Notamacropus eugenii: one gene and its partner. The protein of the gene in region 2 binds, or shares a complex with, the protein of the main gene of each other region. Links are inferred from orthologs where the notes say so. Each region holds a gene or a part of one and is shown on either strand. Other genes may lie near its edges. The genes, in order: IER5 and PPP2R2A.

Region 1 (3,903 bases), on a different chromosome or scaffold from region 2:
AAACAGTGCTCATGGGAAATCCTACAGGCAAAGGACCGCCATACCCCCTTCAGACTGGGTTACAGGAAACTTCAAAGAATATGATTCCAACCTGGAATCATACGTTGGTGTTTCTCATCTATTGAATAGCTGCCCCAGTTTGGTCTATTCCGTACTCGGCCGTAAATATATTTTATTTCAACAATATCACCCTGGTCGGTGGGACCACGGTCCTTTTCTCGCTCCTCCCAATCCCAAGCGGGTGATTACAGAAAAGGAGACAGTGAGGTTGCTTCAAAATATTTAATACGTGTCAGACACGTAAAGTTACATTTTATACAAAAAAAATGTCAATACACGAAGAAAATACTGTACAAAAACTCTACAAGCCCCCAGCCTTTATACAACAAAGACGGGAGTAATCACATCTACTAAAGCCACGAGGCCTTTCCATTAGGGCATCTGTAAACTTTTTCATTAAACACTTTTTAAAAGCACTGTGTAATAATTCTGACCTAGAGCTTTTAAAATATATATATGTTTATATATATATTTCCTTATAAACTCAGTATTTCAAGCTTGATCTCTTCTAGGAAGCTCACCAAGCTTTCTGAAGGGGGGAGACCTCAGAGTCTGTCAACAAGAATTGTCCCTCCCCCCAGGACCGCGCTCCGGGCTGCGCAGGGCGCCCACGAGGCCCGCGCGGGGCCGGTCGTGGGGGGGCTCGCCGAGTCCCTTCCCCCAGCTCCCGGCCCGGCCGCGCTGCTTCCTCCTCGCCGCCCCTGCAGGAAAGTCCCGGCTCCGCGCCGCCCCCGCCCGCCCCCAGCGTCTCGAGCCCCAGCCCGGAATCCCGGTGACAAGAAAGCCTTACTTCAACAATCAACTTACAAAAACACTTTATAACACAAGCCCCCCCGGCGCCCAGGGGCCCGGCGGCGCGGGCACAGTCCGCTCGCGGCTCGCCCCCGGGCAGGTCCCGCTGCCCAGCCGGCTCCGAGGGGGCGGGGCGGCGGGCCGGGGGCGGGGCCCGGCTCGGGGCGGCACCGCCTCAGTCTCTCCCCGGGCGCCCCCGCCCCCGCCCGGGCCCCGGGCGATCAGAAGGCCACGATGGCAGTGCTCCAGGGGTTGAGGTTTCTTAACACCGGCTTGTCGCAGTACATGGGCCCGGGCTCCGCCGCTTCCGGACCGCGCGGCGGCTGCTGCTCCTCCTCCTCGCCGTCCTCGTCCTCCCGGCCGCCCCCGGGGCTTTTGCGCAAGAGTCCGGAGAAGCTGGACCCGAAGATGGTGATGAGGCTGGCCACGTTACCGGTCTCCATCTCCTCCTCCTCGCCCGGCTGTTCCTCCGAGTCCCTGCGGGGTTTCTTCACGGGCGAGCCGCCCGAAGCCAAGCACCCCCCGGGGCCGCCCCCCGCCCCCGAGGCGCTCCTTTTCCGGGGGCAGACGGGCGGTGGCGGGGCCCCCTCGTCCGGGCGCGGGTGGCAGGAGCAGTCGGCCCGCGGGGCGCCGCGCGAGGAGCCGGGGAGGCGGCGGCAGCAGCAGAGCCGCGCCCGCGGCGGCCCCTCCGGGACGCCTTCCCCGCCGCCGCCGCTCTCCGCCTCCTCCACGCGGCGCCTCGGGGCTTCGGGCCCCGCCTCGGCTCGGGGCGGCGGCGACCCCTCGGGCGGGCGCTCCCCGAGGGGCTCGGGGGCGGGCTCCGGGTCCTGCTCCATGCTGCTGTCCCTGGGGAGCGGCTCTCCCCAGCCCGGGGCCGGCCCCCCGGGAAGCTGCGGCGGCGGCGGCGCGAGCGCGCCCGGCCCGGGGCCGCCCAGGCAGGGGTCGCTCAGGTAGACCTGGCGGGCGCTGCGAAGTACCAACGACACCAGCAGGTTCTTGTGGAGCTTGATGCCGCCGCGCTGAACCCTCGAGTTGTAGATCTTGCCCAGGGAGATGCTGACGATGCGGTGAGCTTCCAGCTTGAACTCCATCGTCCCTCGCTCAGGCGCCTCCGCAGCTCGAGGGCGGCCGATTCACGGGCGGCTACCCCCTCGTCCCGTCCGCGGGCAGGGTGTGGGGCCGGAGGCGGAGACGCGTCAGCTCCTCCCTCGGCCCAAAGCGAGCGAACAAACAACCGGGACCACGGCGACGCGAGCTCTGACCCCTTTCTCACGGCCGCGACGGAGCACACGGGAGCTTGGCAACCAGTCCCGCCGCTAACTGAGCGGAGACGGGCGACCCGGCGGCTTTATATAGTCCTCTCACGCCAGCCAATCAGGAGAGACTAGCGACCGTTCCGACCGGTTCGGGGAGAGCTCGCGCTCCCTCGTGCGCCCCTCTCAGCCAATCAGAGGCCGCGGGCCGGAGACAGGGCAGATTCGAACGTTAGTCCCGCGGAGCCCTCTCTTAAAGGGGGAAACAGCGAGGAAGAGGAAGCGGTGCTCGAGGGGGGAGGGGAACGAGCCGGCCAAGTCCCCGAGGTGTCACCTCTCGGGGCGCTCGGGCGTTCCCGGAGGAGGCGGGGGAAAGCCCTTTGTTCGGCTGTTCGTGCGGTGGGCAGGGCGTTCAGGTGCGTACTGGACACGGCTGGATTCCCGAAGCCGAAGCTGGCCCTCCTAACGGTGGCTCCCCGGCCGCGGCCACCCCGACTCCCCATCCCCCACCCCAGAGACACCCCAGCGGCGAGTGAGTGCCCTTCAGAGGGAGCTCCGGGGCCGGTAAAAAGAGCGTCGGAGGCCGAGAAGCCCGGGCTCGGATCCTGGCTCCCCGGCAGTCGCTTAAGCCTCCCTGGACCTCAGTTTCCCCGTCCGTACAGGAGGGAGCAGGCGCCAGAGCCTCGGAGGTCCTTTCCCACTCTAAAGGAAGAGCCAGGATCGCTTCCCGACCGCGCCCCTCCCCCCACGGTACGCGGACACACGCCCTTTCCCTCTCCCTCCACCCTTTTCCCCTCCCCCCCGGCCCCGCCTCCACTTTAAGAGACTTGGCTAAGGAGGTTTCGTAGCCGGGCTGAGGCGTGGGAACCCGACCGCACGGGCTGTTAACGGGCCCCTCACCTGCCGGCCTCCAGCGCTGCTCCGGCTGCAGACGCCGCGTGCCCCGCGAGGGCCCGCCCCGGCAGCCAGGGGACGAACGCGGCTTCGGGGGGCTTCTCCTGCGGGGCTGCCGGCGGCGCCGCCTGCTAGTTGTGCTGGTCCTCGGTCCGCAGCCCGTGTGGCCGGGCGGCGGAGCCCCCGGCGGGGCGAGGCCCTGCGGCCCCCAGCCCGGAATCCTCCCGGCGGGAGATCTCCCGAGGTGCCGGGGAGCTGTCCTCCAGCTTGGTTTGGAGGTGCCTGGAGGCACATCCATTCAGCACACTTAATCTTACTTTTAAAAAAACGGAGCTATTTAAATAGCTTCCATATACGTGTGTGTGTGTATATAGATAGACGGATAGATAGATAGATAGTGTGTGCATATATATATATGTATATAGTTGGGGAAGGTGTTAAGTAAATACATGAATGGAAGTGTTTTGAACTGTTTGAAACACAATACGATGTCTTTTCAAGATATAGATCTGCCTTTGTTTAAGAAAAGCCAAAATACCAAAAATCCAGACTTAGAAAACATTTAAATTAAGGAGCCGTTTGCTTTCTTTCCAAAAACATATCCCCACGGTTTCTCTTCAAATAGCTTCTCCTCAAAGTGCATACAAAATATAATTTTAAGATTTTTCTTTACAGGAAACGTTTCAGGAACACACATAGAGCTCCTAAGGTTTAGCACTTGAAGAGTCACAGGTAGTAATCCATAAAGCTAGAATTCGAATCCAATTCCTCTGCCTCCACATGCCCATGACATATTTAATAAAACAAGATACGTCGTTATTGGATTCTTCTTTGCGGTTCTAGTAAGGGTGTAAATTGGACGCATCCACATCTGTAAAATGGAGGGATTGTGTTAGATGACCTC
Region 2 (3,903 bases):
CAAATAACACAGTCCCTTAGAACATATACATCAAAAAGCCTGATATTCGGCTTTATTTTCAAAATAAAATGTTGACTGAAACTGAGGCAAAATCGTTTCGCATGAAAAGTCCAGCAGGCAAGAATAATATTAATTTAAGGAAGGGGAAAAAAAAACAAAAACCTGGCAAACAGAATCACCCACAAAATAAAATAGCATCCATCTGAAAAACAGGAAAATGGAAACCATATTTTATCTTAATATAAAGCATTAGAACAAGATATTGTGATATGGCTTTCTAAATATCCATTTGTCCTCAGTTCTCCCAATCTAAAGGTTAAGAGACAGATATTTTATATACGTAACACATGTAATACTCAGATTAAATTCAAATGAAATCGAGAATTCATTTATTTTAGACACCAGACTGCTATTAAAAGGTGCGACCTATTATAATAGACCCATCCACCCCACATCACTCCCCCTTCCAACAGGCCTTCCTTGTGAAGATCAAACCTCTCTAATAACTCCCTACTACCTGCCAAATAGTCTAATGCCTTAATCTGCTCCAGAAAGACTTCCACAAATGAACAGTACCCCACCCCTTTTAGAGTCCCAACTCCCAGGCAGGGACGTTTCCTGGTCAAGCCTTCCCTTCCCTAGCTCAGGGCTTTCATTCAAGCTGCTAAGATCCACTTCAAATGCCACCTCTCCCACAAAAGCTTCCCTGAAGGCAAAGCCCACTTTGAAGCATAAGCACTCTAAGATGAACCTGGTGCCAATAATATATATGCCAGCTGACTTCCCGAAAAGAAAAATCCATTTCATGATCAGGACTCCACCTAACCCTGGCCAGCCACATCATTAAAGCATGCCCCACTGGTACAACTTGAGAGGAAAAGCTCCAGGGCTGGCTTAACACAAATCTGTGACAACTCCTGGGAAAAACCATGCAGATATGGATATAGGAAAGTCCATTAATGCCCTCTTTTTACGTGAAGGGAGAACACAGGAGAAGGAGAAAATGATTCACACTAGACACAAAAGGCTTGCCAATTTCTTGCACTTCATTAAAAATAAGATTTCTAATTAGAAAAAAATTTTAAATGTGTAGCAAAACTAACATCTAGATCCTATTAAACAGGCATCAAATTAGAGCTTCTGATAACACACAAAGAAATACTTTCATACTTTCCAGAGACAAACGAAAACTTTGGATCTGAAAGGTCTACTTTTGAGAACTTGTGTTGGTCATTAATATGAAAAGTTAGCTTCAAAAACAAATAAAAAGTCAGCAATATTTAAAACTTCCTCTAATGACAGAAAGAAAAAATTACAGAAAAAAAAACTTTTACTGGTACATGTATGAAACAGAGTCAACCTTCAAAAGTACAGTTTCCACACTTGTTTGTCTAAGCTAAAAAACCTTCAAGATGAGTACAATGTATCACGAAGAAAATCAAGCAGCAAAAAGCTTACTTACAACAAAGAGCTCCCAAGTCTTTGTAAGTCTACAGTTCTGTGTGAACTGTTCATTTTAACATTAAGTCATGAATTTTCTTAAATTAACAAGGCAGGTGGGTGGGAGGATGAAAACAAAGCACCCAGAATAGAGAGCAAAGGACTGCTTTTATGGCCCGAGTCAGAGGTTTTCCTTGAGCTCTGGGTAGCTGCCCTCCAAGCAAGCCCCAACTAGAGAGCCCCTGAGGCTGGCCCAGGCTCTCACACAACCAACAGCTTTACTAGCCATCATCTGCAAGAACTATTTCTGCAGAATCAAAATTTAAAAGAATATCCAGCTTAGTTTATATTCAACTTCCATTGTTAAAAAATATTCTTACCTTCTGCTACATCATCATCGACTGCCCCTTTCACCTGAGAAAAACACCACTGAATATCATTTCCTCCTCCAGCTCCTAAAAGGAAAAACAATCCCCATTAACATCATGTCTGAGTTTTGTTCACTCCCCCACCCCAAACAGAGAGCTAGTGTCCAAGGTCAGCACAGCACCACTAGCGACAGCTGCCCACTCAGAGAACCTCTGTGCCCCTAAATCTCCAACTTGGAGAAAGTTGTAGTAGAACATCATTAGGAATTTTTTCTGCTACTGTGATCAGATCTAGATTCAAGATCAAGAAAAAAAGTCATAACTCATTACTTACAAAGAAAAAGTTATTGAGACTTAGTTTGTTAAAACAGTTCTTGACCAATTTTGTGCCTTTGGACCCTTGAGAAAGTACATCACTTAAAAAAACTGTCTTCGAAGTTTTTTTTTAATGTTGGAATTAAGTTTTTTTTAAGAGCATGAACTCATTGGCTGATCACTAACACTGCACTTCTGCTTAAAACTGTTCTTTAATCTTCACCTCCTCTCCAAAAACGATGCTAATCACATGTAGTTAAGAAAGATCAGAAAGCAATACAAAAAAGTAAACCATTTTTAAAGTGGTTTTCTTTTTAAATCTGCAGACAATATCCCGTGTTACAGTTAATAAACTAAAACTACCATGAAACACTGCACGAAGTGACAACTTCAGGAACATTTCTGGCTCTGTGAAAGATGGTGATTCATTTGAACCTTGCTACCAACACCTTCCCCTCCCCCCAAAAACACCACCCATTTTTCTACATTTCATTGCCAGCCAATCACTCATTCATTACATACAGGAAAAGTAATTGAAATGAATGCTGCTAAAGAGGCTGTCAAAAGGAAGTTTCTTTCTTCCTTCACCCCACCCCTCAGAATCCAAAGGGCCAAGCAACAGATGTAATTTACCATCTTGTGCAACAGTTTTAATTTTACTAGATTAACAAGGCCAAAAAGCAACGTGCTTTTTAGCAAAATCACAAGTTCAATCCAACACATTAAAAAATAGAAAATACAAGCTGAAGTGCAAAAATCCATCTGGATTTCGAGATAAAGAATTAGCTCAGTCTGTGATGTTTCTGTCTTTCACACTGCTATAGATGGAAGCACAGTGAAGAAAACTTGTGGAGGAGAAAGGGTAACACAATTAAATGGTCTATTCCTGATTCTCTTAAGTGACGGAAATCTTTCAGACCCAGGAAATTTGCTGGGGGAAAAAAATGTATTTTCTTTTTTTCCTCTCTGCACTCCCACTCTTCGTTAACAGAAGATGCTCCCCATACCTACCAAGTCCTCTTCCTCCTATGTCAGTAGGTAAAATCTCATTTTTCCAATACAGGCTCGTACAGATTGGAATCAATGGCTACTCTGCCTTTCCAGCTCTTAGACTGTGATTCTCTCTTCCGCCACTGGCTCTCAGCGAACTGCTCAACTAATAAGCACAAGAACCACTGAACTCCATGAACCAGCCCCCCAAACGCCCACCCCTGGGAGAGGGGCAGAGACACAAGTGGCACGGGCACAGGCCTTCCTTCAAGCAAAGATGAAAGTTTGGGTTCGTTTTCCACCCTTGGCACCACGCTTGGACTGCTTCATCTACAAGACCAGGGGGCTCATCTCGACGGGGACTTTTCTGGGCCTGACAATCCCGGGGGCTGGAGGCCGGGCCGGCCGGGCCCCTCGGGGGCACGAGTCCGGGGCTGGCCCACGTTTAGAGGGGACCTTGCCGGGCCTCCCCCTCCTTCGGTCTAACACAAGAGGCGCTGGAGCAGCGTGACCTCCGCCCGGGAGCCTCTGCACCTTCGGGGCTCCGAGCTTCTGGGGCCGCCCCACTCCGCGGCCTCCGCGGTCAGGTCGGGCATCCACGAGGCCCGGCGGATCCACGGGAGACCACGGACAACGCGGGGACCGTCTCGGAGGGAGGGCACCTCCGGAGGAACGCGTGACCTCCGAGTGCCGGGCTACAAAGGCGCGCTTCCCGGCCAGCCTGCCGGCCGCAGGTCCCCGAGGTCGGCCGAGCCCGCGACCTCCCGGGGCTCCGCAAGCCCCCCACGCT

What was found.
Region 1: the proteins of PPP2R2A (region 2) and IER5 are in contact, whole or in part, in a cryo-EM structure (PDB 8UO5), measured with the Homo sapiens proteins. The link is inferred for Notamacropus eugenii from reciprocal best matches to the Homo sapiens genes PPP2R2A and IER5. Residues at the interface, in NP_002708.1 of Homo sapiens: Glu91, Ile92, Glu93, Glu94, Asp116, Tyr178, His179, Asp197, Leu198, Met222, Leu225, Thr226, Glu227, Val228, Thr230, Ser247, Phe280, Phe281, Glu283, Ile284, Ser287, Cys334, Tyr337, Glu338, Asn339, Asp340, Phe343, Lys345; in NP_057629.2 of Homo sapiens: Ala7, Arg9, Ile10, Ile13, Ser14, Lys17, Arg25, Gly26, Lys29, Leu30, His31, Lys32, Leu34, Leu35, Val36, Leu38, Val39, Leu40, Arg41.

The regions. Positions count from the first base shown.
Region 1 is NC_092873.1:464,456,622-464,460,524, forward strand, and holds IER5 (immediate early response gene 5 protein), read right to left. Parts: upstream 2,253-3,903; 5' UTR 1,944-2,252; coding exon 1,074-1,943; 3' UTR 269-1,073; downstream 1-268. UniProt on the Homo sapiens protein: Plays a role as a transcription factor. Mediates positive transcriptional regulation of several chaperone genes during the heat shock response in a HSF1-dependent manner. Mediates negative transcriptional regulation of CDC25B expression.
Region 2 is NC_092872.1:744,066,619-744,070,521, reverse strand, and holds the start of PPP2R2A (serine/threonine-protein phosphatase 2A 55 kDa regulatory subunit B alpha isoform), read right to left. Parts: upstream 2,647-3,903; 5' UTR 2,524-2,646; coding exon 2,487-2,523; exon of another isoform or gene 2,143-2,486; intron 1,896-2,142; coding exon 1,821-1,895; intron 1-1,820. UniProt on the Homo sapiens protein: Substrate-recognition subunit of protein phosphatase 2A (PP2A) that plays a key role in cell cycle by controlling mitosis entry and exit. Involved in chromosome clustering during late mitosis by mediating dephosphorylation of MKI67.